Arabidopsis thaliana: one gene and its partner. The protein of the gene in region 1 interacts with the protein of each later gene in a biochemical or structural test. Each region holds a gene or a part of one and is shown in the gene's direction. Other genes may lie near its edges.

What was found.
Region 2: the proteins of ILR3 (region 1) and BTS form a complex in vitro, tested with the Arabidopsis thaliana proteins (one study listed by BioGRID).

Annotation. Positions count from the first base shown.
Region 1 is NC_003076.8:22,209,802-22,223,527, forward strand, and holds ILR3 (basic helix-loop-helix (bHLH) DNA-binding superfamily protein), read left to right. Parts: upstream 1-7,132; 5' UTR 7,133-7,468; coding exon 7,469-7,596; intron 7,597-7,639; exon of another isoform or gene 7,640-8,248; coding exon 8,249-8,311; intron 8,312-8,527; coding exon 8,528-8,605; intron 8,606-8,684; coding exon 8,685-8,847; intron 8,848-8,919; coding exon 8,920-9,192; 3' UTR 9,193-9,473; downstream 9,474-13,726. Other genes in the region: ATK3 (kinesin 3), read left to right, coding at 111-305, 775-919, 995-1,104, 1,185-1,304, 1,386-1,589, 1,674-1,850, 1,936-2,010, 2,102-2,248 and 8 more; GAUT12 (galacturonosyltransferase 12), read right to left, coding at 9,634-9,918, 10,004-10,306, 10,388-11,137, 11,236-11,291, 11,755-11,968; AT5G54700 (Ankyrin repeat family protein), read right to left, coding at 13,295-13,710. UniProt on the Arabidopsis thaliana protein: Transcription factor. Plays a role in resistance to amide-linked indole-3-acetic acid (IAA) conjugates such as IAA-Leu and IAA-Phe. May regulate gene expression in response to metal homeostasis changes.
Region 2 is NC_003074.8:6,268,248-6,285,498, forward strand, and holds BTS (zinc finger protein-like protein), read left to right. Parts: upstream 1-5,718; 5' UTR 5,719-6,060; coding exon 6,061-6,390; intron 6,391-6,684; coding exon 6,685-6,894; intron 6,895-7,020; coding exon 7,021-7,215; intron 7,216-7,289; coding exon 7,290-7,651; intron 7,652-8,022; coding exon 8,023-8,251; intron 8,252-8,392; coding exon 8,393-8,561; intron 8,562-8,656; coding exon 8,657-9,889; intron 9,890-10,052; coding exon 10,053-10,224; intron 10,225-10,575; coding exon 10,576-10,794; intron 10,795-10,905; coding exon 10,906-11,043; intron 11,044-11,149; coding exon 11,150-11,384; intron 11,385-11,471; coding exon 11,472-11,531; intron 11,532-11,633; coding exon 11,634-11,705; intron 11,706-11,786; coding exon 11,787-11,927; 3' UTR 11,928-12,315; downstream 12,316-17,251. Other genes in the region: AT3G18282 (uncharacterized protein), read right to left, coding at 1-108, 219-339; AT3G18291 (uncharacterized protein), read right to left, coding at 12,398-12,526; AT3G18295 (DUF1639 family protein, putative (DUF1639)), read left to right, coding at 13,021-13,593, 13,676-13,753; AT3G18300 (uncharacterized protein), read left to right, coding at 15,149-15,973; AT3G18310 (TATA box-binding protein associated factor RNA polymerase I subunit C), read right to left, coding at 16,276-17,251. UniProt on the Arabidopsis thaliana protein: Essential protein. Negatively regulates the response to iron deficiency and thus contributes to iron homeostasis. Exhibits E3 ubiquitin-protein ligase activity in vitro.

The DNA of each region.
Region 1 (13,726 bases):
CTATTTCTCTGAAAGATCTCTAAGAGAGAAAAAAACAAACCTTTTTTGCAGATTGAGAGAGAAATTTGAAGTAATTTAAGGTAACAAGAAGAGAACAATTTTGTTCTGTTATGGTGGGGGCGATGGCAAACAATGGAAGAATCCGGTCAGCTTTTCCGGTGACTAATGGGTCAAAAGATCTGACGCCGAACAGTGCTCCGGCGAGTACAACCGGATCTGAATATGGTCCTGTTGAGTTCACAAGAGAAGACGTTGAAACTCTTCTTAATGAACGAATCAAGTACAAGAGCAAATTCAACTACAAGGTTTCTACTTTTTCACCCACCTCATTAAATTTATCAACTTTTTATTTTTTTTACCTGAATCTAAAATTCTTCTTGTGTTTTAGTTTAGTTGGTGAAGTTTTGAATTTTAAGTAGCTTTTTTACTGGCTTTTCTCGTTGGATCCGTTGTGTTTTTTTTTTCTGAAGAAGAAGATTTGATTGTTGTTGTTTATAAGACAATTTGTGGGACCTTTATATTTAGGCAATAGCATTGAAGACATTGTTTATGTGTGTTGATTGATCTTTGTGGTAGAATCTGGAGCTTTTAATTTCAGTTAGCTTTACTGGCTTTTATCGTTGGATCTGTTGTGTGTTTTTTTTTTTGAAGATTTGATTGTTGTTATAAGACAATTTGTGGGACCAAAATAGTTTTGTCTATTTGATAAGCATTAAAGGACTTTGTTTATGTGTTTTTGGTCTTTTGGTTTGAATTTGAATGTTGATTTTGCAGGAGAGATGCGAGAATATGATGGATTATATAAAAAGACTTAGACTTTGCATTAGATGGTTTCAAGAACTTGAGTTGGATTATGCTTTTGAGCAAGAGAAGTTGAAGAACGCATTGGAATTGAATGAGAAGCATTGTGTTGACATGGGTGCGTTGACACATTAAAGTTTAGTTGTTGATTTTTTCGTTAGCAGTTTTTGAACTTTGTGCAATTTGATGACAGAGGTTAGTTTGAAAAACAAAGAAGAGGAGCTGAATATGATAATTGAAGAGCTGAGGAAAAACTTTGAATCTGTTCAAGTTCAACTTGCCAGGGAACAAACGGAGAAGTTGGTAAGAAGCGGTTCATTCTAGTTAAGTTACTTGTGTCTGATACATATTTGTAAGTCTTAATTCGGTTTGTTTTGCTTTAGGCGGCGAATGATTCTCTTGGAAAAGAGAAAGAAGCAAGACTTTCTGTTGAAAAGGCACAAGCTGGTCTCACAGAAGAGCTAGGAAAAGCACAAGGAGATCTTCAAACGGCTAACCAGAGGGTGAGAAAACTTAAAGGATCTGAAATGAGAAATGGATACTACTTAGCTTTAACCAATGTTCGTTTTTTGGGTTTTGTTCAGATACAATCCGTGAATGACATGTACAAACTGTTGCAAGAGTATAACTCAAGCTTGCAGCTGTATAACAGCAAGCTACAAGGTGATCTTGATGAAGCTCACGAGACTATAAAACGCGGTGAGAAAGAACGGACTGCCATTATTGAAAATATTGGCAACTTGAAGGGTCAGTTTTCAGCATTACAGGAACAACTTGCTGCTTCTAAGGTGATTGATGCTCTATCAATAGTAGTAAATGTTTATAGTTTTGGTCAGAATGTGATTTGGTGTCTTGTTTTTTTTTCTTGCTAGGCTTCTCAAGAAGATATCATGAAGCAGAAAGGTGAATTGGTAAATGAAATTGCGAGTCTCAAGGTAGAGCTTCAGCAAGTCAAAGATGACCGTGATCGCCATTTAGTGGAAGTTAAAACCTTACAAACCGAGGCAACCAAGTACAATGACTTCAAAGACGCCATAACCGAGCTTGAGGTTTCCTATCCTTTTATAACTTCTTTCAAAGGAATTCTCTGTCAAATTAATTTCTCTTAAGATAATGTAAATTATTTTGGTCCAGACTACATGTTCGTCCCAGAGTACCCAGATACGACAGTTGCAGGATCGACTAGTAAACTCTGAGAGGAGACTGCAGGTTTCATCACATTTTTGAGTTACACATACAACAAATGACTTTACTAGATTTCACAAGTTCTTGATACCATTCTTGATTGTTTATGGTCTAGGTGTCTGATCTATCTACCTTTGAGAAAATGAATGAGTATGAAGACCAGAAGCAAAGCATTATCGATCTGAAAAGTCGCGTAGAAGAAGCAGAACTTAAACTCGTTGAAGGAGAAAAACTACGGAAGAAGTTGCACAATACCATTCTTGTATAATCTGCTTAACTCACCTCTGCCACATTTGTTTCTTCCCCTTTGTGTAAGCTTGACTGATATCTTCTCATGTTGCAGGAACTGAAAGGTAACATACGTGTGTTCTGTAGAGTTAGACCTCTATTGCCGGGTGAGAACAATGGAGATGAGGGAAAAACTATTTCTTACCCGACATCCCTAGAAGCACTTGGCCGTGGTATTGACTTGATGCAAAATGGTATGTAACATAAACTTCTGTGGAAATGTGGTTCTTGCAGAAATGACACATTTATTAACAGTTGATGTGTTTTTGCTATGGACAGCGCAAAAGCATGCTTTCACATTTGATAAGGTTTTTGCGCCGACTGCATCACAAGAAGATGTCTTCACTGAGATTTCTCAACTTGTTCAAAGTGCTCTCGATGGTTACAAGGTAACTAAATCTGCAAATGGCAAAAAGTACTATGTGCGTTTCACTGTTTGTTGGAATAACTAAGCTGATAGAATCCATTTTATAGGTGTGCATTTTTGCATATGGACAAACTGGATCGGGAAAAACTTACACCATGATGGGTAGGCCAGGAAACGTCGAGGAAAAAGGTCTGATCCCGCGATGTTTGGAGCAAATATTTGAGACGAGGCAGTCTCTTCGATCTCAGGGTTGGAAATACGAACTGCAGGTATTTTTGTAGTCCTCTCTCTTTTAAGTAGCACTAAGTAAGATATATCCTTGTGATTAGAATATATGTATAATCCTCCTAGTTTTGTATCATATGTATAGGTATCCATGTTAGAAATATACAATGAAACGATCCGAGATCTCCTGTCAACAAACAAAGAAGCAGTAAGAACAGACAGTGGTGTTTCTCCACAGAAACATGCTATTAAACATGATGCTAGTGGAAACACGCATGTCGCTGAGCTTACTATTTTGGATGTTAAAAGCTCTCGGGAGGTTTCATTCCTCTTAGATCATGCTGCTCGTAACAGGCAATATAGCTGAAACCCGTTTCAATTTGACTGAACTAAATGGCCATCAAGATTTTCGATGAATCTTTCTGACAGTTGAAAGTTGTTTTCTTTCTTCTTCAGGTCTGTAGGGAAGACTCAGATGAACGAGCAATCTTCCAGAAGCCATTTTGTTTTCACGCTAAGAATCTCTGGTGTTAACGAGGTACTAACCAAACCGTCTTTCTTCTTACAGAATGTTTGTTTTGTGTGATAAACCAAACTGGCTTTTTTCTTTCTTACAGAGCACTGAGCAACAAGTACAAGGTGTCTTGAACCTGATTGATCTTGCGGGGAGTGAGCGTTTATCGAAGAGTGGATCAACCGGAGATAGACTTAAAGAAACTCAAGTACGTTTGATAGAAACATAAAACATGATTATGGTTTCTTGCAATTTTTAGTCTCTTAAACTTTCATTCTTTCTTCAGGCAATCAACAAAAGTTTGTCGTCGCTAGGCGATGTCATATTCGCCTTAGCAAAGAAAGAAGATCATGTACCATTCCGAAACTCAAAGCTCACATATCTTCTCCAGGTACCAAACCAAACCGTAAAAACATCTTTCAAAACTTTTGTTTCTTGATTTGTGGCATCATAATAAAAACTATGTTTGATTTTTAATTCAGCCTTGCTTAGGCGGTGACGCAAAGACGCTAATGTTTGTGAACATTGCACCGGAATCTTCTTCAACCGGTGAGTCTCTCTGCTCTCTTAGATTCGCAGCGAGAGTGAATGCTTGCGAGATTGGAACACCACGTAGGCAGACTAACATCAAACCATTGGAAAATCGGTTGAGCCTTGGATGAGGGAAAGAAAAGAGAGATGGATTTGAAGTTTGAAGCTAAAAGCTTCATTTCAAAGTTAATTATATGAATGTACTTAATATGGTCACAACTTGATGAAGAAGGATGGGATGATTCTAACAAGAAAACATGAAGACCTTTTGTTGTAATTTGTATAGTTTGGTTTAGCATTTTATTATCTGTTGTTTATGTAATTCTTTTTCTTTTGGATCATAAGTAGGATTTTGCTTGTTGATGTTCGGATTCATATTCATCTTCTGGGATTCAAAATATTTACTTCTCGTTTCTGTGACCAATCACCAGGCCTAGAAGCATAATGGTAGTAGTGTTTTGGTTACGAAATTGATATATGAATGATTGTTTATGTTTGGTCAGATTCAATATCGTATAGAAATATGAATGAAAGATAATAATTAATAAAACACTAAAAACTAATGTTAGTTATATTTTAATATGCTTGTAATATTTAGTACTTTTCGAAAACATAAAAACGTGAAAATTGACTAATACTATAAATAGTAAGAATACTGGATCATTTTTTCAAACCATGAAAAAGTGGTATACTTTTTTTTGTGTGCAAAATCTTGTTTCCATTCAGTAGATCAAGTAGTTACAGAAATGAATAGTTTAGCAAATTCAAAGTTTAAATCAACAATACTAAACGCATTTTTGAACAACAATAATAAAGGAGATAGGATATATAGACCGACGGTAAGATCAAATGGTTTCCAGACAATAGGTATGAACCAAATTGTCACATGCAAGCCAAAAAGTCGATATACCATTTATCTTTCCTTTTTCTTTCAATCAAGGTGTAATCATATATATCATATATGAAGCAAATTTGGAAATGGAAATAACACATAACAGAATGGGACATGACGGCATTTTTTGCCCACTCCGAGGAACAATGTATTCCATTGATCAACTTGAAACCCCACTTGATTAGCTGGTTCTAGATAAATGTTTGTTTTCTATTTAGGTTGTTACAGATTTCGTATAGTTAAATTGAGCTACATGTACACCAGATAAAATCAAGATGTTGATATAAGAATCATTAGATTCAATTTGACTTGAATGTGGTGTGTCAATTGTAAAAACAATTGTGATAGGGTCATACTCTATTTTCCCTATAACTATAATCTTGTTTTGTTGGACACTGGAGTAATATATATATATAATTCTGCAACAACTTACCAAAAATATTTGAAATCATGGATCATATGTCATTTTTTTTCTTCCAAAAATGATTTTGCCATATGATTAATGCATTACGCTCGTATGTTTGATAAATCTGGTTCGTCACATAAATATCACTTCGAAAAAATAACTTTTCATAGTTCATTATCGGTACATGTAAACGTTAATTCAATTATAGTATTTCATATGTTCCACCATCTCACTATTATATTGGTCATTTGATATTTCACTACTAAACCAGATAACTATTGTTCTTACCAGATTTCACACGTAATCATTGTATTTTCTAGAACATCGAACGAATATAGCCTACAAATATTATATGATTTAGTCAACTCCTGTTGAATTTCTTCTAAATATTGAGATAAGGTAAACTAAATAACATCTGAAATCATGGCAAAATTCATGCCTTCACGGAACTTGGGAAAAGAACAAGTCAAACTTTAAAATATTTGTGTAATTACTTGTTTATTAACATTTGTTTCAAAATATTGTACTCCAAATAGTCAAGTTGATCCATAATGCCGCTTCTGCATTCATTAATCAAACTAAAAGCAACTGGCTTAGCCGATCATAATTTCAAATAATAGTAGTGAAGAGTATAACAAGAAGAAAATGATAATCTCCTATGAAAAAAATAATAATAATTGATAATCTCCTTTATATTTTATAAAATAGAAATATAGAAGATAACAAGAAAACAAGAACTATAAAAATATAATTTAGTACAAAACAAGAGAATATACCTCACAGTATGAGTGGATATTCCTAATCAATAGTTGATAAATCTATTTATTTATCAATTTGGGTTTCGTTATATTCTTGGAAGAAAATAAGTTGACGCGTATAATTTGAGTACTGGTTTTAAAAAGAAAGAGGTGCTATTATATAATTTGGGGAAGATATTAAAGATTATATATCGTACATAAAAGATTCTTCTATTTTTTTTCTTTCTATTTCTTGGAACTACCGTTCTTAATTAAATTACCCATATATTGTTAAATTTTGGATTTTGAACCTGAGATGTCGATGGGCATCTTATCTTATTATGTTAAAAAGTTGAAACGAATAAATGGTCTCAATGCTAGTTGAGAAGTTTATACTTTTAGTGTGTATCTTAAAAAAAAAAAAAAGTTCGTATCTATGTGTATGATATATTATTGTTTATCAAATGTGCTAATACGTAAAGTATTATTGGAAATTTTCATGTATGTACGGGAGGAAGCAGAAGAATGTATAATCTCCTAGATCACGACCAAACGACCATTCCAACCATGTTCTCGAATATTATCGGTTCGTTCCAACGAACATGGTCACAAGTTTTCTTTATCAATTTAATTTGTTAAAAGCTAAACGGACAAATAGAAAACACATACTACTAAAACCAAAGAATATTGAAACAAACAAATTAATCAAAACCAGCTTTAGTGGTGTTAGATTGATAGGTCTTTAGATTCGTGCTTCTTACTTATTATTGCTAAGATAGTCGACACACACAAAAAGAAAAATCCATTCTCTTTTGTTAGAAAACATGAATACTTGCCACTATACCGATTTTGATTTAAAAAAACAAAAAGATTGTTAATGGACAAATTTTGTCTTTCTAGTGCATATTTACTTAAAAATTGAAATTATTAAAAAAAATTTAAAACGTATGGATTATATTTGACTATTTGTTTTGGAATTTAATCCAAAACATATGAAAATTTTGACCGTTTATGAAATGTTGATTTTTATTTTACTCTTTAACTCACACACAAACCACATACTTTAAAATTCGAATTAGAGAATTCACTAGGTTAATGCCCTGATTAGTTAAGTTTGTTGTAAAATGTATTGATATTTGATTTAATATATATATGATGATGTAACACATAAAATAAAATAAAAACACGTAAAATGAATTAAAAATAAACTAACAAATAAAATAAAAACCCTTGGTATGATGGGCCTTGGAAAGCCCAAAAAAAAAGGAAGAGTGCGCGTGAAAACCACTCTAATTTCTCTGGATTCCAAGATTCCCCAATTCGTCTCCTCCAACAGTTTTCTTCTTCTCTTCTTCTTTGGGTGTTCCTTCCACCAACGGCAGAAATCGATTTGGCTTAAATCTCCCCCTCCTTTCGATCTCTCTGATCGCCGCCGGGAACATTCAATTTCCCGGGAGTTCAACAAAAAAAAAACTCTCCGTTTTTATTTTTCCCCCTTTTTCACCGGTGGAAGTTTCCGGAGATGGTGTCACCCGAAAACGCTAATTGGATTTGTGACTTGATCGATGCTGATTACGGAAGTTTCACAATCCAAGGTCCTGGTTTCTCTTGGCCTGTTCAGCAACCTATTGGTGTTTCTTCTAACTCCAGGTTTTTCTTCTTACTTCCCCTTTCTCTCTTAAGTGCTTCAAATTAGGGTTCCGATCTGGTTTTTAAGAAATTCAAATTGATTTGAGTGAAATCAGTGTGATTGCTTGAATAATTTTATGTGGGTTTTTTCTGGTATGCGAAGGTGTATCGTTAAATCAAGGGAAGGGCTAATTTTGTTAAAGTAACGAACTTTGTGATTTTAAGCTTGTGTGATTGTTTGAGTAAGTTATAGAGAAGAAACTGAGTTCTTATTCATTTGAATTGGTTTCTATGCTTAAATTTGGGTTCTTTTAGCTTGTGTAGATATCTTTAGAGTGGGTGAAATGATATGTTAAGTTAGGAAGTTTGGCCTCAGGAGAGGATTTAGGTTTGTTTATCTAAAGTCAACTGTGTGTGCCTGACATGTTTTTAGTGTAACTTCTGACATGTTACTTGATTCGGGAATTGATTGATCATATATCACTTCTTGTTAGGTGGGAATTAGATTCCTTTTTCATGGATAGTGCTTTCACATATGAGTGGATGGTTTGACCTTAGCATGTCAATGTTAACTAATTAATCTGCTTCCTTGGAAGTGAGTAGTTGTAAGTTGCTACATGATTGAGTATAGATGTAATACTTAGTTGGTTCGATGTATTTCTTGTTGGTTCAGTGCTGGAGTTGATGGCTCGGCTGGAAACTCAGAAGCTAGCAAAGAACCTGGATCCAAAAAGAGGTAAGCTTTTTATGTTAAACTCTTTGTGACACACCTTTAATTCAAAAGACTTACTGAACCAGGAAACTATAGCAACTTTCAGAATCTATAACTTTGAGAAATCGCTATGGAATTGTTTATGGTTCTTTTGTTGTGGGGATCTGTATTGGCTCGCTTGACATATTTTGGGCTTGACAAGGTATCAGAAAAAATAATCTTGTTCATTCCATGTCTCAGGGGGAGATGTGAATCATCCTCTGCCACTAGCTCGAAAGCATGTAGAGAGAAGCAGCGACGGGACAGGTTGAATGACAAGTAAGTTTTAACAATTTTGTATATCCTTCCTTTACTCTTTAGTAGGTACTAAAATGATCGCCTTTTAAATAAATAACAGGTTTATGGAATTGGGTGCAATTTTGGAGCCTGGAAATCCTCCCAAAACAGACAAGGCTGCTATCTTGGTTGATGCTGTCCGCATGGTGACACAGCTACGGGGCGAGGCCCAGAAGCTGAAGGACTCCAATTCAAGTCTTCAGGACAAAATCAAAGAGTTAAAGGTGAAATTTGAATCCTCCTTTATCCCCATAAAATCATCGAATGCTTACTAGTTTCCGGTTTATGTCAATCAGACTGAGAAAAACGAGCTGCGAGATGAGAAACAGAGGCTGAAGACAGAGAAAGAAAAGCTGGAGCAGCAGCTGAAAGCCATGAATGCTCCTCAACCAAGTTTTTTCCCAGCCCCACCTATGATGCCTACTGCTTTTGCTTCAGCGCAAGGCCAAGCTCCTGGAAACAAGATGGTGCCAATCATCAGTTACCCAGGAGTTGCCATGTGGCAGTTCATGCCTCCTGCTTCAGTCGATACTTCTCAGGATCATGTCCTTCGTCCTCCTGTTGCTTAATCAAGAAAAATCATCAACCGGTTTGCTTCTTGCTTCCGCTTAAAAGAAAAGTCTCCATTTGTTTTGCTCTCCTCTCTTTCTCGGCTTTCTTAGTCTTATCCTTTTGCTTTGTCGTGTTATCATCGTAACTGTTATCTGTTGAACAATGATATGACATTGTAAACTCCAATTGCTTCGCGCAATGTTATCTATTCACATGTAAATTTAAGTAGAGTTTGGCAGATCGTCTCTCACTTTATGTGTTCTTACATTAATACATAGAATGTGGTTACTTCCTCGCCATAAGAGTTTGAAAGTACAAAAAATTAGAAACAGGAGAGACCGCAAAACATGATCCGGTAGAGAAGTGAAAACTCCACTGCAGAAAAGTTTGCTCCTATATCTTGATCTGTGAATCTCCTCTCTGGGTGCCAATGTAGAAAATGGTCTTGGTTTGTGTTATCATGATGCTCTAATGTGACAGCTCTTGATAAATCTGTCAGAAGAATCAAGATACTTAGCCCAGAGAGGACGTAGATGAGGAAATGCTATATCCAGCCAAGGCTTAGCTCTTCCATTGAAATGAACAACAGCGGCACTTTCAGCATCGGCATAGCTCGTGGTCTCTTGGTATCCGAGACCAAGCATATGCCAGAACGGATCTATGGTTTGGACATGACCGTGGAAAGCAATCAGCCCAGGAGGCAAAGTTCCCAGCTGCCACAAACTCAGGTCTGATTTTAAGTTCTGCAACACATACATGTAAATAGTTTTGAGTTAAGATGATTATTGCTTGATAGTGATTGTTGGGTAGTTAGTGGTTTCCTTTTACCTCGTCAAGCCAATGATAGTAAGTGGAGCTTATGTTAGTCCTCCTCCAAGCCGCTAGGTCGAAAACATTCATTCCATAAGCCCATGCACATTCCTCTGGATTGAAGTTTTTGGCAATTGTCGGATTCGAGAAGTTGAGGTAACTCTTGAACTTCTTTGACATCACAAACTTGTCTTCTCCTCTACATGTTTCCACTGCTCCATTTACTTTTCCATTCATGTCAATGTCCCAAAGAGGTGAAAGATCAGTTTGGATCACAATGTCATCGTCTAGAAACACAACCTTGTTTAAGCTTGGAAACAACTGCAGAAAAAAGCAAAGACTGTTATAGGTTTCGGGTCTAATGCTGTTGAGTATTCTTCACTAGTCACAGATCAAACTTACCTCTGGTAGATGAATACGGATGTGATTCATCAAGGAGTTGTATTTAGGGCTGAGAGCTTGTAACTTAGCAGCAACAACAACCGGGTTCTCTTTGTTATTAGCCACAATAACCGATGATCCACCTCTGAATTGAGACCTCACTCTCTGATCTTTCTCCATAGCTTCCAAAACGGGTACTTTACCTTTCGATAACCAATCGAAATGATGCAAAGCCTTGACCTCAATTATTGCTGGAGACAGAGGATGCAATGAGAACCAAGCTTGCATTGGGAAATAAGTTTTCCTATCCGTTATGATGTGAAGAACGATCTTATGAGGTCTTAAAGCATTTTGAACCAACGACTTAGCCACAACCGAAGCTGCAAGAATATTGTCTGAAGCCAAGACAAAGTGAAAGTAGTTGTTGTCTACCAACATAGGGACAAGCTCAGCTTCTGGAAGCTGGAGACGCGCCGCTGCGTTTATCGAGTGTTCGTTGGCTAGTTTAAGAGCTAAACAGTGAAGTTGTTTCGGTATGCTGCTTGATGCGACATGTCGATATAAATACTCTTGAATCTTAGCCGTTCTTGTTCTCTGTTCCATCAATGTCACCATTTCTTTTAGCTTTTGAGCAAATTCTCTTGCGTCTGATTTGCTTCTTTTGACTTCAGACATGAAATCTTGAAGTGTTTGAGGTATATCTGATCTTCCTTTGAGTTCTTGTTCGCTTAAAGGCTGTTCTAAAACTTGGTACATAGCTTCTGGAACATTCTAGAAATAACCAAAAACTTAACTTTTCACCACTCTGTTTCACCATAGTAAAAATAAATGCGCTCAATAATCTGAAACTGAAGTTAGAGAGGACTTACACCAGAATCAACCCTTCTTCCTAAAAGCTTTGGCTTTAGTCTTTTCCCCAAGCAAGCTGTAAATTAAAATGGTTAATTTTTTTTGTCAAATGTTAAAACTATGTGTTATTATGATTAATAAGTAAGTTTATCTCTTTAACATGAAATGTCTTTAAATATTTAATTAAGCTTGAACATAATACTACAAAATCAACGTGAAACAAACCGACCAGCTCTTGGATTTATTCACTTTTGAGCGTAAATCTCTAGTAATTATTCAACTTCTTCGTTTAGATTATTGTTTTACATGAACTAGAAGATAATATATTTATTTCTCATAATTGTGCATGTATATACACATAAAAAGTAAAATGCTTTTAGTATAAATTATATTGCTATTTTTTCTCATATGTTTTTTTTTTAGTGAGAATCGAATGTTTTGTCGAAGAAATCGAAATCAAGAGTTCACTATTTTACATAATTTCCGGATTTAAAAAAGAAAAAGAAAATGAGGGAAGTTAGAAGAAGAAAGAAACGTACCAAGAGAGGAGCAAGGAGAGGGATCGCCGTCGATAGTATCAACGGTGGAGAGAACAAAGACGAATCGGAGAAGAAAAGTGAAGAAGAGTAGAGAGTAAAACACCATTTGATAAGAGAATCTTCTAGAACCAACCTTAACTTTTATGAACTCTCTCAATCCTTTCCCTGTGACCACAGTCACATGTCTCAAGCTCGGAGATATATGTAACTGCATCTCTCTGTTTCTCCTCTGTTTCTTTGTTTATTATGTCTTTGTATGGTTTTTGTCTGAAAGGAGATGGATGTTCGAAGAGGGAAACTGGATCTTACGTTGTTATGTATTGTATGATTATTCATTAGGGGTCCATATCATTTACCTAACCTTGCTTTGTGTTTAGGTTATTAATGGCAGATCATAACTCTGATGTTTCTTGTGAATAAAAAGGAAACGTGTGTTGGTTAGAATTAGAAACACCACGGTTTTATGTATTTGTTAGGAAGCTTTGGGTTTTCTCGGTTATGCGCTATTCGGTTTTTGGTTCGAATCTCTAAGCTGGTGGTGGAATCAATATTACACATTAGTACATTACTTCGATTACTAAACCGATGAATCTGAATCTTGTTTTGGTTTATATTGGTATATGTTTGATCGGTTAGGTTATTTGGATTTATGGGGTTATCCTTTTTCTACTTGTAGGAAAAGTTTTTTTCCGGTGGACTCGGAATACCATTCAGTGCAAATCATGAAACTCTTAAAATGAATTAAACGTCACATGTTTATGATTAGTAAGATCTGAAATTTTGCGATAGTTCAACAGCTTCGGTTTAATTCGGTTCGGTTTAAGGGATTTGGATTTAGGATTTGGCTTTATGTTGAAGGAGAGAAGTTGGAGAGAGAAAGACAAGTCAAAGGCAATGCAAAACATAGATGTTAAAAAAATTGGGAGTGTAGATGAAAAGGAGCTGTTTGGTGGTTACAAGACATAACTTTACATCTAAATAAAGTCTTTGAACAAAGACATTGGAGCTTCAACTTCAGAATTTACTTTTTGAGGACTAATTTCTTGTCTAATTTCGATTGCGACCCTTTTCTCTTAAGTTATTCAAACTCGTCAGTCGTCCCCATCCAAACAAGAAGTCTTTGTAGTTTGTACTTCAAGACTTGTTGCCTTTCCAGTGTAATAATATTTGCAACTTGCAAGTTTCAATTTCTGCTAGTTATGGAAACTTTTTGGGCCTATGTCTACGGCCTCTATGGGATATATCATTACCAATCATTTTATATACCCGAACAATTTAGTTGTTTTTTTGGAATTCGTTGGTTGAATGAAGTTTGATTACCAAACACAAGGGATTTTTAGAGAAAACTCTTCTCACGACTCTTTTTATAAAAACCACATGTTGATACATCAATTGGGCCTCAGTGATCAACCGGCCCATTTCAAGGAATAACGACCCAGCCCCGACCATCACTTTAGAACTCGAGCCGGCCCACCAGGCCGAAGCCCGGCCTGGTCAGGATGTGAGTTCGGCTGCGTAGAAAAGGGGCACTCTCGAGAATTCACCTTGCGTACCCTACTATACGGACGGGTATAAATAAGGAATAGAAAGTCTCGGGAAAGGGGACTTTTTCGAGACCTGGAGAAAGGATAGCACAAGTCAGCTCGTCGGGAGAAGTCTGCTCGTCAAGATCAGCCAGTTCGCCCAGAAGAGCCAGCTCATCGACACAAGTCAGCTCGTCGGGAGAAGTCTGCTCGTCAAGATCAGCCAACTCGCCCAGAAGAGCCAGCTCATCGACACAAGTCAGCTCGTCGGGAGAAGTCTGCTCGTCAAGATCAGCCAGCTCGCCCAGAAGAGCCAGCTCATCGGTACAAGTCAGCTCGTCGAGAGAAGACATCTCGTCAAGACAAGCCAACTTAGCAAGAAGAGCCAGCTCACCAGAACCACCAGCTCGAAACGGCATCGCCTCGTAGCGCCCTCAACTACGTTCTCA
Region 2 (17,251 bases), on another chromosome or scaffold:
TGATAGGAGAGGTAGTACAGGCCATGGCGTTTTCTGTGTTCCGCAAGTAAGGATGCAGATTCAAGCGGATGAGATGAAGATGACGAGGCTTCTTCTTGATCCCTGGTTCTAAGTTTTGTGAGGAAGAGAACGAATTGAAATTTGAATTTGAGTCCAATCTAACGAGTGCAAGTATGGAAAGAAACATACAAAATGTAACAAAAATCTAAGAAACATACCACCAAACGTGAGATTTGGAGCATGCCTAGGGTATCCAACAGCTCCAAGAGCACTAGAGTACTTCCCACCACTGGATCTCAAACCACGAGCGACAGCAGCTCTAAAAACAGGCAACATCATCGCAAAATTAGAGATTTCTCGATAATCGTAATTTCGGTGAAATGGGCCAGCATATTTTACTCTCTTATACTATTAAACCTAGCCCAATAATTTTCTATTGAAGTAAATAGCCTACGAATCAAAACATATGTTTAAGTGAATGAGCCTGCACTATATTCTAGGATCCTAGATATTATTAAGTACTAGACTAAGCTTTTGGGTTTGGTAAAACGATTCTATAAAGTATACGAATTTTTAATTATTAGAAATGGATAAATACAGAGTATTTTGAATCTATCTATTCCTCTTTGATCTAATTTAGTTTAGTCGTCTTTAATGTTAAATGTGCAAAGAAACTGCAATCAAGATTTGGTATACTCCTTAACCTTAATAAATTCACAATTTACTCAATGAGAATAAGAATGGATAAGGGTACAACTAGAGTTGAAATTGTATGACCATAAGCTCAAATTATTCATGATATAATTAGTTTTGATACTTGAGAAGTGAAATCAAAAATCAGATTCGAGGGTTTTTCATGTCGGTGATCGTGATTTTTTAAATTCGGATTCTGATGTGAGAGAGTAACGGAACATGAGAGGGAAAAGAAATGGACCTAAACAATAATGTTTAATATATATTATCTATATTTCTGAAAAAGATAATAATAATTTTTATTTTTATTTTTATTAATGCATGCTAAAATATTATATGATTTTCTTTGTTAAATAATTTCTGAATAAATTTTTCATTTGTTATGAGGTCAAATATTTTTAGTTAACAATGTATGTCCACTGGCCACTGCTCATAGTCTTCTTTCTGTTTGATGGGAAACAAAATAGCCAAATACTTTACAAAGTAGAATAAACAAAAATATTAGTTTTGAAACTTCAAAATTTATTCTAGCTTAAGGTCCTAAACCAATTACCTCATCTGGAGAAAATACCTCATCACATAAAGGAGTCACGATCCTAACTCTTATCTTCCCATATGTAGCTATTTAATATTGTACGTTTGACATTTGGCAGTAAACATAAACATCAATTTTGTTTTCTACTGTTAAAGTCTATATACTATATCAAATTTAATATTATATTTATAGTTTGACCTAACTAAAAACACCACGCTGGCTCTACATATCCATAACCTCCGAATATTATCTCATCTATTTTTCCCCAACCTACGAATATTTCTCCCAACTACTGCTCTTTCTATTTTTAACCCCAAGAAATATATTTCATGATGTATATATATATTCTTAAGAGTTAAACTTAGACCAAAGATCATGTAATTTTTCTCATAAACAGAATGGTTTAAATGAAAAATAATATAAACTATGTTTAACTAAAAAAAGCAAAAGCAATAACAATTATTCATGAGTTAACGTAAATGATAATTAATGGTCGCTCTCGCTTTCATGGACCTATTAAGGTTTTGTCGTTTTCACAAGGCTAAAAATAAAGTTGAAGTTGAAATGCGGTTTGATTAGGAAAATCTTTATTTTCTACTAAGGAGAGCAATTTGTTTACGCATCTGATATTTTATAAGTACGGACATACTAAATAAACAGTTGACATAATTAGTTTAATTATAAAGTGCCAAAATAGTAACAAACATGGAGATTCCAATTTGGAAATACGGCATGGAACGTTTCTGATGTAAACTATAAGTTAACGTAGTTTCACATAAATATTCTAATGCACTGAAAACATTAAACATCGAATCTGTGTTTCTTTTTCAACATTTTGTGTGTGTGTTTGTTTTTTATACAAGAAGAACAATCTTATGATGAATTAAGTAACATGATCAACTTCACCATTTGCCAATACTTTTACTAACAAATAACAACACACTTGTATAATATAAATGGCAAAAAGTAAAATCACTACTAGTCGTGTAAAATATATTTGTTGTGCAGTAATTTCTCGTTAACAATGTGAAAAAATAGTAGGATGATTCACGTCAATTAATGTTGTAAGCTCATAATTAATTTGATACAAACTAAATATATAATATAGTGGCGGAATGTAGACATAACTCTTATATATATTGATGTTTTAACCAAAAAAAACAACTCTTATGTTGATGATAAAGTATACTATAAATTGTGCGTCTTGTTTCACTTACTGTTTTTTGGATCGAATATAGAGGGCCCAAATTCTGAAAATATCGTGTGCTTAAAAAGAAGTAGAATTTATAGAAGGGTTTTTTAAAATATCCAAAGAGCTTTTATATTCAAAAGCTGGGTCAAATAAAATATATATAGATATATTAATAATTCAAACAAAGATTTAATAAATTTATAATTAAAGATGGTTTAGTATATTCAAAAGCTTTGTCAAATATTACAGTATATATAATTTTGTATAACAATATTACAGATACAATAAAATTAAAAGCTGTGTCTTATGTGTCTCAAAAATCATATTCCAATAATATTACCCTTCAAAATAATTATAATATTAATCATAATTACTTTTTTTTTAGTGAGAAGATATTGTACATATAACAATCAACCGATGCTAAGAGATTACTAAGAATATGAAGATATATTTATGTATATACTATATACACATCAAGTATATAACATAAAATAATACCAGTTAAGCTACCAATAATCTGTCCTCTATATACAGTTTATATATGGAAAACTCAATAGTAAATATTGATAATTTCATCTGTAGTGAATTTTTGATATGTTGGTAGTGCATTACTGGTAATGCGTTATGCATTGATTTCCATATGAGATGAAATGTCTTATCTTTATTTAGTGCAATCTGAGTATTGAAAACAATTTCCCCAGTTTTTTTTTTTTTTTACGTCAAATATTGTGTGCTTATTTTAAAGAGAAGAAACCAACAAAGAGATATTCCAGAGGACACGGCTTTGTATGTATCTGACTAAGAACAAGACACACATGAATGATGAAGGTGTTGGTCGGGATTGATGTTAAAGATGTACCAATCACATCAATATATACATATATAAAGAAAATTAATTTTAAAAATCAGGCTAAAAATTAACGATACAATATTTTATAAAAACATTTTCTCATGAGTTTCTTTGAAAACACGATATATGTTCACTTTTGATATGCAGACATGCAGTAAACTTTAAAAATATGTTGAGATGCATATGCTCATTGTCTTTATCTTCTTTTCTCTCCTTTTTTTTTGTTAATTATATATGGTAAAGTAGACTTGTAAGTAAAAGTTCTTATACAGAAAAAGGTCGATTTTTTTTTTGGGTCAAATTTTAACAGATTTTTGGAATGAAAACTGACGTATCCTCTTACGAAGTGCTAATTTAAATTGGAGTTGAACAAGTCTCATATTGAATTAGCAAAAATTTAGAGTCAACCAAACATCTAGACCTAAAAAACTTCATGAAATTTAATTTTTCCAATATTGCAAAACCGGTTCAATCAAGTTATATTGGTAGAAACATATAGTGAAAGATATGTTTTTCTAGATCTACTACATGAACAGAAATGGCAATTCTAATGGAAAAAACAGATGGAACCAGAAAAATAGAGTAAGAACGAAAACTTAAATATAGAATGTTGAAACAAGATAAGTGTAAGGATGCATTTAAAAGGAAGAGACGAGGCAAATAAACATTATCCTTAGACGAAAAAAATAAAACAAAACAAAAGAGGGAAAAAGGATACATGAAAAGAGATTGATCACTATATTGATGGATCACAATTCACAAAAAGCCAACCCATTGCCTATTGTACACTTGCACGATACTCGAAATTTCCAAATAATTCGGAACAAAAAAAACAGCTATATTCATTTTTTAAAATAATCAACCAATCGAATTTAGTCTTAAATTGTATAATTGTTTTAATCATTTAGGTTTACGATCATAATTAGGTGGTCATAGATGCCTATATCGTTGCATTAATTGAAGAAGGGAGAATAATAATCCTACCATCTATGATCCTATAAGATTGCAATAAAGCTATATATATATATATATATTCATATAGTATATATGATCTAATCTCTTGTTAATTACTATATAAATTAGGTAAAGGTTACCGTAGAAAATTACGTGGAACAATGTTGAAATGCTTACATAAGTTGACTAGTCCGTGTTGTTTTTGTTCTTTATAGAATTATAGTCAAGAACGGCGAATTATTAAGTTGTTTCTGATTATAAAATAAATAGGTTGTTGTGAAATCGGGGGAAAAAGAATAATGAATACTTGTTAAATATTGGTCCCCTAATAAATGTTATTTATTTTGGTTATAAGAAAAAAAAGGAATGTGTTGTGGAGAAGAGAGCGCGAGTGGAACTTGTTGCTACCCAATTGTCGCCACACTTCCCACACGTCCCCTCTTGTATCTTTTTTTTACTTTTCACCACTTCCTTTGTCCTCTGTTTTTTTCCCACCATTTTCTACTTCATCAATCTATTCCTTTTGTTTTTTTGGTAAAATATGTAAATATCATCTATTTAAAAATAAAATATGAACGAATAGATTTATAAATATACAAAATTGAAATTTTAAGATACTTTTAATCGAAAAGAGTTCCCAAATATTTACGTAATTAACATTTTTCAAAGTTTATTTAGGTTTAAATGTAATTTTCTGGTGTACCACTAACTAGACTATACATAATATAAACACGACTGTGAAACATGATCATCATTAGCTGTTGATTATCTACTAAAGAATTGTTTGTTATCTCTACATAAGAATATATATTGAACACGATTTCTATTATCTTTTACTAATTTGAAATAGAATTGTTTCTAGTAATGACACAAAATTAATTGACTCAATCTAGTAAACCTTGGAGCACATGCAAACTCAATTAAACAAGTTTAAACCTTTGTATTTGCATTTATTAATCAAAGCAAAACTGTGAAGCAATAATTTAATCAATGGTTTAATTAAGAAGCTAATTAGCTATTTGGCTCCTTTAGATTACGAACGGGTGCTGCTACATCTCCTCTCTGTCATTAGTCATTACTAAATATTTAAACCAAGTTCGAATCTGTCTTACATTATCTTATTTCATAAAATCTCAAAGCCAAATTCATCTTTTCTTTTGAAAGTGCTCCCTCAAAAGCTAAACCTCAAACATATAAAATAGCAAATTCATTTTAACAAAAGCTTAATGAATTCCACGTAAGCAATTACATAACGTTTTTGCCCCTAGTCAGTAGAGTCCCTCCTTCTAACTCCGAGAACCAGCGTCCATGTCTCGCGGACCAAATGCGTTCGTAGGTAAGACGCTTGCACGTGTCGAGATGTAATCGGTCACGTGCCAACCTGGGTTGGTTGCATCAGCATCCGACGTGGCGATGTGAATGGCCACGTGCTACAAAACCTATGTATAGAAACACCCACCCAATCCCCAAGCACTTTTATTCATTTTCTATAAAAAAATTTACAAGGATCGTATAATACTACTAACAGTTTTTTTTAAATATTTTCCAGATAAACATTAATAAAACGATAAAAGGCAAAAAATAAAAAAGAAAAGAAAGCAAAAGCAAAATCAAAATCGATATATCAGACAACGCCTCGACCTTTCTTTCTTTTTTTCCTTCTCATCGTCTCCGTTGAACAACACCACACAAACACCAGAAGAACACCAGATAATTCCCATGGTGAACCGAGCTCAGATTTGAAAATTGAAGGTCGTAGACGAATCATAAGGAAAGAGAGAAGTGGTTTGAGATTTCTTTTTTGACGGACGAAAACGGAGATAAGCTTTGGGGGAAATGGCGACGCCGTTACCAGATTTTGAGACGGCGAGAGGCGGCGGAGCAGTGGCGTCTTCTTCAACCACGGTTCTTCCGAGTTCTGTGTCTTCTTCTTCTTCTTCATCTCGTCCGTTGCCTGTGGCGAATTCGTTCTCGGATGACGCGGAAGAGATTTCTCCGATCCTGATTTTCTTGTTCTTTCATAAGGCAGTATGTAGTGAGCTTGAAGCTCTTCATAGATTGGCTCTTGAGTTTGCTACTGGTCACCATGTCGATCTCCGGCTGCTTCGTGAACGGTACCGGTTCTTGAGATCCATCTATAAGCATCACTGCAATGCCGAAGACGAGGTAATGCGAAAACCTGGTCCTCTTCTTTTAAATTTGATCTCATCATGTTCTGAAAACTGCTGAATTAGAATTTGGAACCATCTCTACTTGGATTTTGAACTCAATACATATAGCTGCAAATTTGTGTAAATCTGACTTGATTTTATCTTAAACGAATTGTAAGTCTCAATTAGTCTCTTGCTGATCATCCTATTGATTCTATGAGTGCGTTGTAGATAGGGAATCTATTGCAACATATTTGTATTGCTATGTTATGAGGAAGAATTGTTGACAGTTGCAAATCTGTGGATGTAGGTGATATTTTCAGCTCTTGACATACGTGTGAAGAATGTAGCGCAAACATATTCTCTTGAACACAAGGGGGAAAGCAATCTTTTCGATCATCTCTTTGAGCTGCTGAATTCTGCCACGGAAACTGATGAAAGTTACCGAAGGGAGTTGGCTCGTTCTACCGGAGCACTTCAGACTTCTGTTAGCCAGCACTTGGCGAAAGAACAGAAACAGGTATTTTTTTCTTTTCCTTCACATCACAGATGTATTATCTCTGTTGTTTTCTATTAACACAGATCGAATATTTAGCATTACGCATTGGCCTTTATTAATTACGGGTTGTTCTTGGCTTGTTGATAGGTGTTCCCCTTACTTATTGAGAAATTCAAGTATGAGGAGCAAGCTTACATAGTCTGGCGGTTTCTCTGCAGTATTCCTGTGAATATGCTTGCTGTGTTCTTGCCATGGATTTCTTCTTCCATTTCAGTAGATGAAAGCAAGGAGATGCAAACGTGCTTAAAGAAGATAGTTCCAGGCGAGAAGCTCCTTCAGCAGGTAAGTTTTGAATTAAGATCCAACTTTCTAAGTTGAAAGACTTTGGCTTGTTGATTGATATTTTCCTTTTGAAGGTTATTTTCACCTGGCTGGGAGGGAAAAGCAATACCGTGGCTTCGTGTCGCATTGAAGATTCTATGTTCCAGTGCTGTCTAGATTCTTCTAGCAGCATGCTTCCTTGTAAAGCAAGTAGAGAACAGTGCGCATGTGAGGGTTCCAAGATTGGGAAGAGAAAGTACCCAGAGCTTACTAACTTTGGCTCATCTGATACTCTGCACCCAGTTGATGAGATAAAGCTCTGGCACAAGTCAATCAACAAGGAGATGAAAGAAATAGCCGATGAGGCTAGGAAGATTCAGCTGTCTGGAGATTTTTCGGATTTATCGGCATTTGATGAACGCTTACAATATATTGCTGAAGTGTGCATCTTCCATAGGTATTTGTTGTATCCTTTCATTTACAATGAAAACAGAATAATCTCAATTTTGCTATTGTTTATTGGCTATCTTTTGTGGGACTATTCAATGTTGATTTATTGAGGTAAATAACTAGATTTGTTTTATAAAGTTGATGTTGATGGCCACTAAAACACGTTTGCCAGCTGTGATGTGTTTTACTTTCAAGTGATATGGATGTTGTTTATCCTTTACTCTTCTCATGCTTAAGCACGTTTCTGCATTAGAGTGTTATCATTCGAAAAAGAGTTTTATCAAATGTTCATATCTACATACAACTTTTTTTTTCTTCTGACAGAGATTGAATTGTCATTGGACTATTTTTGAGATGATCTGTTCTTTTCTCGTGCAGTCTTGCAGAGGACAAGATCATATTTCCAGCTGTAGATGGAGAGTTTTCATTTTCTGAAGAGCACGATGAAGAAGAAAATCAGTTTAACGAGTTTCGATGCTTAATTGAAAATATCAAGAGTGCTGGAGCCTCTTCTACTTCCGCTGCCGAATTTTACACTAAGCTGTGCTCACATGCTGATCAAATAATGGAAACTATTCAAAGACACTTCCATAACGAGGAAATTCAGGTGAACTATTGCTTTTAAGTGCTGTATGATATTGTAAACAGGTGAAACTATGAAAGTTTGGCATAAGATCATTTGATACTATATGCTATGAAGATTCAAGATACCAATTTCAGGATGTCAACTAACTTGTAGTGGTTGCAGGTGCTACCCCTTGCACGAAAGAACTTCAGCTTCAAAAGACAACAAGAACTTCTCTACCAAAGCCTGTGTATAATGCCATTGAGACTAATTGAACGAGTTTTGCCATGGTTGACGGCATCTTTAACAGAAGATGAAGCTAAGAATTTTCTGAAGAACTTGCAAGCTGGAGGTACTATCTACTGTACTGCCTTAAACTTAACCTTCTTTCAAATTATTAGCTACTCACAATTTTGCATAATTACATGCTTTTTCTTGTGGCCTCAGCACCTAAATCGGATGTTGCTCTCGTTACTCTTTTCTCTGGTTGGGCTTGCAAAGGACGCAAAGCCGGGGAATGCTTGTCTCCAAACGGGAATGGTTTATGCCCTGTGAAAACACTAAGCAACATTAAAGAAGTCAACCTTCAGTCATGTAATGCTTGTGCGTCTGTTCCATGCACGAGTAGGAGTACAAAATCGTGTTGCCAGCATCAAGATAAAAGGCCAGCTAAGCGAACTGCTGTATTGTCTTGTGAAAAAAAAACCACCCCTCACTCGACAGAAGTTGCAAATGGGTGCAAGCCATCTGGAAATGGTAGGTCATGCTGTGTTCCGGATCTCGGAGTTAACAATAATTGTCTGGAACTTGGTTCTCTTCCAGCAGCTAAAGCTATGAGATCTTCTTCGCTAAACTCTGCTGCACCCGCTCTTAATTCCAGCCTCTTTATTTGGGAAATGGATAGTAACAGCTTTGGTACTGGACATGCTGAGCGGCCAGTTGCTACAATATTCAAGTTTCACAAGGCCATAAGCAAAGATCTAGAGTTTCTTGATGTTGAATCTGGAAAGCTCATTGATTGCGATGGAACATTTATTCGTCAATTTATCGGTCGATTTCACCTACTCTGGGGTTTCTACAAGGCTCATAGTAATGCAGAAGATGACATCCTATTTCCAGCTCTAGAATCGAAGGAGACACTTCACAATGTCAGTCACTCTTACACGCTCGACCATAAACAGGAGGAGAAGTTGTTTGGAGATATTTATAGTGTCCTTACCGAACTTTCAATTCTTCATGAGAAGTTACAGAGTGATTCTATGATGGAGGACATAGCTCAAACTGACACTGTTCGGACGGATATCGATAACGGTGACTGCAACAAGAAATACAATGAACTGGCTACAAAGCTACAGGGGATGTGCAAATCCATTAAAATCACTTTGGATCAGCACATTTTCTTGGAGGAACTGGAGCTTTGGCCTCTATTTGACAAACACTTCTCCATTCAAGAGCAAGACAAGATTGTGGGTCGTATAATCGGAACAACGGGTGCTGAAGTTCTTCAATCTATGTTACCATGGGTGACGTCTGCCCTTTCTGAAGATGAGCAAAACAGAATGATGGATACCTGGAAGCAGGCAACCAAGAACACAATGTTCGATGAATGGCTTAATGAATGCTGGAAAGGATCACCCGACTCATCCTCAACAGAAACATCCAAACCTAGTCCACAGAAAGGTAAAAGCATTGCTTAGCTATTTCTCACCAACTTAATATCTAACTTGTTTAATGTAACCTTAGATGTTTCTTCTTTGGACTTCATAACTCATACTTAAGCTGGCAACTATAGTTTCTCTGTGCTAAGTTTGTTTTGCTTATGTCAAGTTTATTTTCCATATAGATAATGATCATCAAGAAATCTTGGACCAAAGTGGTGAACTATTTAAGCCAGGGTGGAAAGATATTTTCCGCATGAACCAGAATGAACTAGAGGCTGAAATCAGGAAGGTCTATCAGGACTCAACACTTGATCCGAGGAGAAAAGATTATCTCGTACAGAATTGGAGGACCAGGTCAGATTTTTTTCACTATTTCCACGCATGGATCCTTTATTCCACATTGTCATGCATACAGCATGCCAGACATAAATCTAGAACCCCCCAAAGAGATAATACATTTCCCTGTATTACTTGAACTTCTTTTGCAATGCGGAAGAGTATAAGTGGTGCTCCTGTCCTTTACAGTTTCCCAATCCAAAATAACGTGCTCAGTTTATTTTCCACTGTGCATGTATATGTGTCCTTGATTGAGCAATCTTCTGATATAGAGAACCTATAATCTCATTCACATGTCCCTCATACCCGAATCCTATTTGTTCTAGAGTAACATTTATTTTAAAATTCTTCTGTTGGTGCATTTATCAGTCGATGGATTGCGGCTCAGCAAAAGTTACCTAAGGAAGCAGAAACTGCAGTAAATGGTGATGTTGAACTTGGATGTTCCCCGTCTTTTCGGGATCCCGAGAAGCAGATATATGGATGCGAGCATTACAAGCGTAACTGCAAGCTTCGAGCTGCTTGTTGTGATCAGTTGTTCACTTGTAGGTTTTGCCATGACAAAGTAAGCGACCACTCCATGGATAGGTAAGATCTTATATTCTAAAGCCAGTTTCCCCTAATTAAATTGAAACTTCTTTGTTCGTATTTTTTTTCTCTCTCTGTGATATGTAATTTTATATTTGAAACATATTACAGAAAATTGGTGACGGAAATGCTCTGTATGCGGTGCCTCAAGGTGCAACCTGTTGGTCCCATCTGCACAACACCTTCATGCGACGGATTCCCAATGGCAAAGCACTATTGCAGTATTTGCAAACTTTTTGATGATGAAAGGTAAACAAAACCCAACAGTTTGATGCATAAACGAATCAATTTACCACTGTCAAAAATCAAACTTCAGAAGCTATTCTAACCGTGAGAAACAATTATCTGCATTCAGGGCCGTTTACCACTGTCCATTCTGCAACCTTTGCCGGGTCGGGGAAGGACTAGGAATCGATTTTTTCCATTGCATGACATGTAACTGTTGCCTAGGGATGAAATTAGTAAACCACAAGTGCCTCGAGAAGAGCCTCGAGACAAATTGCCCCATCTGCTGCGAATTTCTTTTCACATCGAGTGAAGCAGTTAGAGCCTTACCATGTGGTCACTACATGCACTCAGCTTGCTTCCAGGTTTGCAAATCTCTCTTTCTCTCATTAAACTTAAATTAACTTTTAACGCCTAAAATCAAAACACTTGCTGTTACTCTGGTCTTTCAGGCTTACACTTGCAGTCACTACACATGTCCAATCTGTGGAAAATCATTAGGAGATATGGCTGTAAGATGATCCCCGCCCCTCAAGAGTGTAACATGCATATCACATCATGCAAATATTGTTTACTGAACTGTTTCTTCTTCGTTTCTTTTGCGAACTCCACAGGTTTATTTTGGTATGCTTGATGCACTGTTAGCTGCAGAAGAACTTCCAGAGGAATACAAAAATCGCTGTCAGGTGAGAAACACTAAAACTGCTGCGTCTTGACTATTTCTTTTAGTCTAGTCATTTCATGACACACATACACAAATGTTTCAGGACATTCTATGTAATGATTGTGAACGCAAAGGAACTACACGGTTCCATTGGTTGTACCATAAATGTGGTAGCTGTGGTTCTTACAATACCCGGGTGATCAAGTCCGAAACAATCCCCCCGGACTGCTCAACCTCATCCTGAAAACACCAAGAGGTTTCACTCACTTGTTACTCTCTTTTTTTCTTTCCTTTTTTCGGGTTTTACCCTCTGTTTCGCACAACAATGTGAAGAAGCCCGTTGATAGATTTTTTTTTTGTATAGTCTCTGAGATATTAAGATTTTGAAGAGTCTTTATTTAGGTTACCTTACTATACATTTTGGCTTGAACAAAGCCAAAAAATTTCGTTTGTTTCTGGAACATCCCATACCGTCATCCTCTTTCTTCCACATAATCCGCTATTTGTTTTTGCATTAAGCTGAGACTTTTTCTTTGAAGAGTGTAAATAGTTAACAATTTTTAATAGAAAACTTTTTTCCACTCTTCGTATCTGACTATACTATTTCTTATTGTTGATGTCAAGAAAAAAAAAATCTACACTTCAGAGTTTTTAAATTTTCGCGAGGGAAAATAATCAGGGTTGGTTAAAAGAAAACGACATGTTTTAGTTTGTTTATTTAACCGTACTATCAGAAATCAAACTAAAATCGAAAAGCTGACAAACCGTATCTGAGCGGGCGGTGAAATCCTCACAAGCAAGTTTTCTAACACTGTTTCTTTTATACGTAACGTAACCCATCATTGTTATGTAATGGAAAGAAGAAGCAGCAAGAGAGCCAAAAAAATACTTGATAATTCATCATAATTCCTTCAAAACTATTGAACTTTAAATTAATTGATAGTTTATAGAAAAGTAAATAAGAAAATATTGTCTAAACGATCAAAGTTCAACAGAAAATAATAAAAATTAGTTTTCTAAAACACTCATTCCTCTAAATTTTGAAAAAGACGTATTTTATAGTAACAAAGTTGTGAAGCTGATTTTAGACGACGGGTCGGAAAAAAAAAACGAGTACAACGTTACAATCGCGTCCCTAACTCTCTCTCTCCGAATAATTCGAACAGACATAAAATAAAATTTCGTGAGAATAAATACACAAACCAAAACCAAAAATCCAAAAAAGAAAAAAACTTTGAAGTTGCTCCAAAGGAAAGAGAGAAGAAAGCTCACCAAAAAAAAAAAAGAAAGGAATCTTCCATCTTCCCACGGCGGAGAGAAACCAATCAAATCAATCAATGGAGCTTCCTCCTCCACCGGAAAGATCCAAACGCCTCCATAACTTCACCTTACCTTATCTCCGATGGGGTCAGCAAAGATTCCTCCGCTGCGTCAAGCTTCCTCACCACAACCGATCTCCTTCTTTTCCTTCTTCTTCTTCTTCTCCTTCTCCCGATCATAGATCTCACAACGGAGGACTTTCAGGTGAGCTCAGGCTCGATCTCGTCTACGATGCCAACAGACCTAAGCTCTCCGTTTTGGGCAATGGAGGTGACAACAACAACGGCGATGTTGTTGCAGCTGCTCGGCCGTGGAATTTGAGAACGAGAAGAGCTGCTTGTAACGAACCACCTGGTGATGATTCCACCAGGATCATCGAGTCTTCTTCTTCTCTACGGAGACATGAAATTGGCGTTAAGAGAGGTGGTAGCGAAGATGGAGGAGATTCGCAGCAGAATAAGAATGAGAAAGTGAAATTCTCTGTTTCTTTGTTGAGAGAAGAAATCGAACAAGATTTCTCTGCCTTAATTGGTAAAAGACCTCCGAGACGACCGAAGAAGAGACCCAGATTGGTTCAGAAGCAAATGAATGTAACTTCTTCTTCTTCTCTCTATCTCTCTCGCTCACACACAATTGATCTCTGTTTTGACTCTGAATTTTCCTTTATTGCAGACTCTATTTCCAGGATTGTGGTTAGCAGAAGAAGTAACAGCAGACTCTTACGATGTTCCTGAGGCTGTGGAAACATGAAATTTGGGGTCAGCTTCTCTTTTTCTATCCAAGAAAAATGTATCAACTTTGTTTTTCTTCTACTTTGTCATTTTCGTTGTAAAAAAGGAAGAAAAATATATATGTAGCAATGTGCTCAGTTTTAGTGAATGAAGAAGCCAATTTTACTTGGTTTCTTTTATATTCTTCTTTTGTTGTAAAAGAGAGACATCTTGGTGTGTGTTTTTTTTCCGTTACCAAAAGCTAATTGTAATCTCTCCATGGTAATGGAATCTCCAGGCTCTTTTTTTTTTGTTATCAATAATTCAGCTCTCTGCAACTTTCTTACATTGTTGTTCCTTATTTAGTTTGTCTTGTTGCCTACTATTAGCAGCTCAGGAGTTACTTAAATTAGTATCTTGCTAAGATTATGAGAAAATTCTGATCCTGTGTTTTGTATAAGCTTTTTGGTTCTTGTGCATGTTTGTGTCAAGAACTTACTGAGAAATAGTGTTTGTGCTTTTTTTTAGACAATTTTGACAACTTTGCAGGGTCAGACCAAGCTTTCCTTTTACAACATCTCACTATGCCCAAGGTTTTATAGACAGCTTCCTTTCTCTTTGGTAAGTCAAGTTACAAACTTACAAACAGTGTTCCAATTATTGAACACCTGAGCTGGGAGACTTGTTACTTGCTGCAATCAGGTTCTTAAATATTGATTTGGTGTTCCATTATTGATTGTTGTATGGAAAAGAAAGAACATTGTAGTTTTAAGTTTTGCAAGATAATGCAAGGATGATCATATACTGCTAATTGATCTAAAAATCTTCAGAAAGGTTTCTTGCACTTTCATGCTTCAGGGTTTAGATCTTTTCTGCAGCTAACCATCACTTCTATAGAGTATCCAAACCATGTCGCAGGTGGAAGCCATGATCAGGCTGATAAGATATCTCATTAAAACACGTCAATGTGGCTAATGTTAGCAGTCACCAGCCTGTGTGGCGAGTAAGAGGGTACACGATCCACGAGCAATATAAACTCTGTCGAAAATAGAGAAGGAAGAACAAAAGAATAAACAGTCCGTTGGACACCTAAAGTAGAGGTAATGTAATTTATTCAAACCCTTGAGATCTAATTAGACATTATGCTCTTTTTCTCTCAGCCATTGTTTCTTGCAGTAGTGGCACACCACATCCATTATTTTAATTGAAGTTTTCAACCTCTAATCCATAGACTTATGCGTTTGTTCTCAAATGTTTCCAAACATCATGTTCACCTAAACCTTTCCTTTCTTTGGGACAGTCCTGCAAAAAAAAAGTCTCTGAGCAGAGTTTCATCTTTCTATCAAACTAAGGTTAGTTTTCATTTACTCATCATTTCTCTGTTTCTCATTGGTTTCACTAATTTGTTTTGAAAACTCCAGCAAAACGGACCATCATGATCTGCACGGAGTCAAACCACCAGCGGTTTTCGTTTGCTGGTGATCTCGGCCAGTCCGATAAAGGAACTCCTATGGAACAACAACCATCAGGCCCGGTCCGAAGAGACACCACTCTTTTGGATTCATCAAACTCAGATTTCGAGTTCCACATCTCAAGCAACTTTGATCCTGGAGATTCCTCACCAGCTGACGAGATATTTGCGGACGGCATGATCCTCCCAGTTCTTCCTTTCCAAGTCACAGCTACATCCACCATGCCAAAACGTCTCTACAAATATGAGCTCCCTCCTATTGTCTCTGCTCCAACCTTATCCTCTTATCTTCCTCCTCTGCCTTTACCATTGCCTGAACACTCAAGAAAATACAGCGTGAAAGAAACTCGAGGAAGCCTAAATGGACGAGGGAGCGGTGCAAATTCGGATTCAGAGGCAGAGAAATCATCAAAGTCGTTTTGGAGCTTCAAGAGAAGCTCAAGCCTGAACTGCGATATAAAGAAGAGTCTGATCTGTTCGTTTCCTCGTTTAACGAGAAGCAATTCCACAGGATCAGTGGCGATTTCGAAGAGGGAAATGCTTAGGGACATTAACAAGCATAGCTCGCAGAGACATGGAGTCCCACGTCCAGGGGTGAATCCATCATCTCATATGCGTCCTCCTTCCTCTTTCTGCTGCAGCTCGTATCAGTTCAGGCCACAAAAACACGCCGGAAAGAATGGTGGCGGAAGAGGAGGAAGTTTTTGGATTGCTCCGGTGATCGGTGGTCCATCTCCGTTTGGGTTAGGATCCATCTTACGACTTACGAAAGAGAAAAAAAAGAAGTAATAACAGTTTTTGTTTTCCTTCCCAAAGTAGGACCAGTTTAATACCAGACTCTTTTAACCAACTCTTTGTTTCATTTTGTAACGCATGAGATTATGCAACTAATGCGAAATTTTGTTAGTCTTTCAAATGGTAATTACGTAATTTGAATTTTCAAAACGAAAATTCATAAATATATATATATTTACATCCCAAGTTTGGTTACATGACAATAATACCAAGAAACCATAATCCTCAAATATGAGTATTACCAAAAAAAAGTGGAAATTACAAAATTGGTGGTGAAGCCGTGGGAGATATCTCTCTCATTTTTTAAGATGGTACTGAGAAAGAAACTCTTGATATGAAGATGATCGATCTTGCCATTGAGAGTGAAACGTCTTGTCCGTAAGCATAGCTTTCATATCGAATTTATCGAAATTCACTTCCCGATTTTCGAAGAACATCTCGACCGGAGACAACTCATCGAACAGTTCAAGCCCTCTTCTTCCTACAGCATTATCATCACCTTCTTTACAACCACGTATTCTGGAGACAAACGTTGTGACTTCTTGCTGTAGTCTGTCTGATTCAGCTGTTTTTGTTATCGGACGATAAGCAATGAACGTCTTTTTCTCCTCCTGTGAATCACTGTTGAGCCACATTTCATCGGCTCGGTCTTCGTCAAGTGAAATGGTTGTCTCGTGTCGACCTGAGTTTGCGATCTGGCGGGTGGCTTTGGAGATTTGATTGCATCGGTTATAGAACTCTGCTTCAGGCGAGAACTCTTGTTCTGAATTGAGACATCCGTTATGGAACTCATGGAGTGTGATGAGAACTGGAAGTGGAACAACAGGACCAACGACCTCAACACCGGGTTGCTCCTTCTTTGACCATTTGCTACTCCGGCTTGAAGGATTCCTTAACAAGAAAGGCGGTAACTGTGGGAATTCTGGAACAACTAAGAACTCGAGAGACTGTTTCTTCTTGTCTACCAGAACATCTGCAAACTCAGAGTAGTTAGAGAATGCAAGCATCAAAATCTCTTTAGGTAAGCTTGACCAGGTTTCTCTCAATGCAATGTCGAAAACACTTGTGGGTGAATTGATATTCTCAAAGACTGCGGTTATGCTAGAGGCAGATCTGCCTTTACCAAATCCGCAAATCTTCAACTTCTTACATAACTCTTCATGGCAGATTAAGCTAAAAGATTCACTCTTCTTGAAATCTGATGATTCTGTCCTCATCTTTGAATCTAAAAACCCAGCGAGCATCCCTTTTCTGTGAGCAGAGAGATACTCG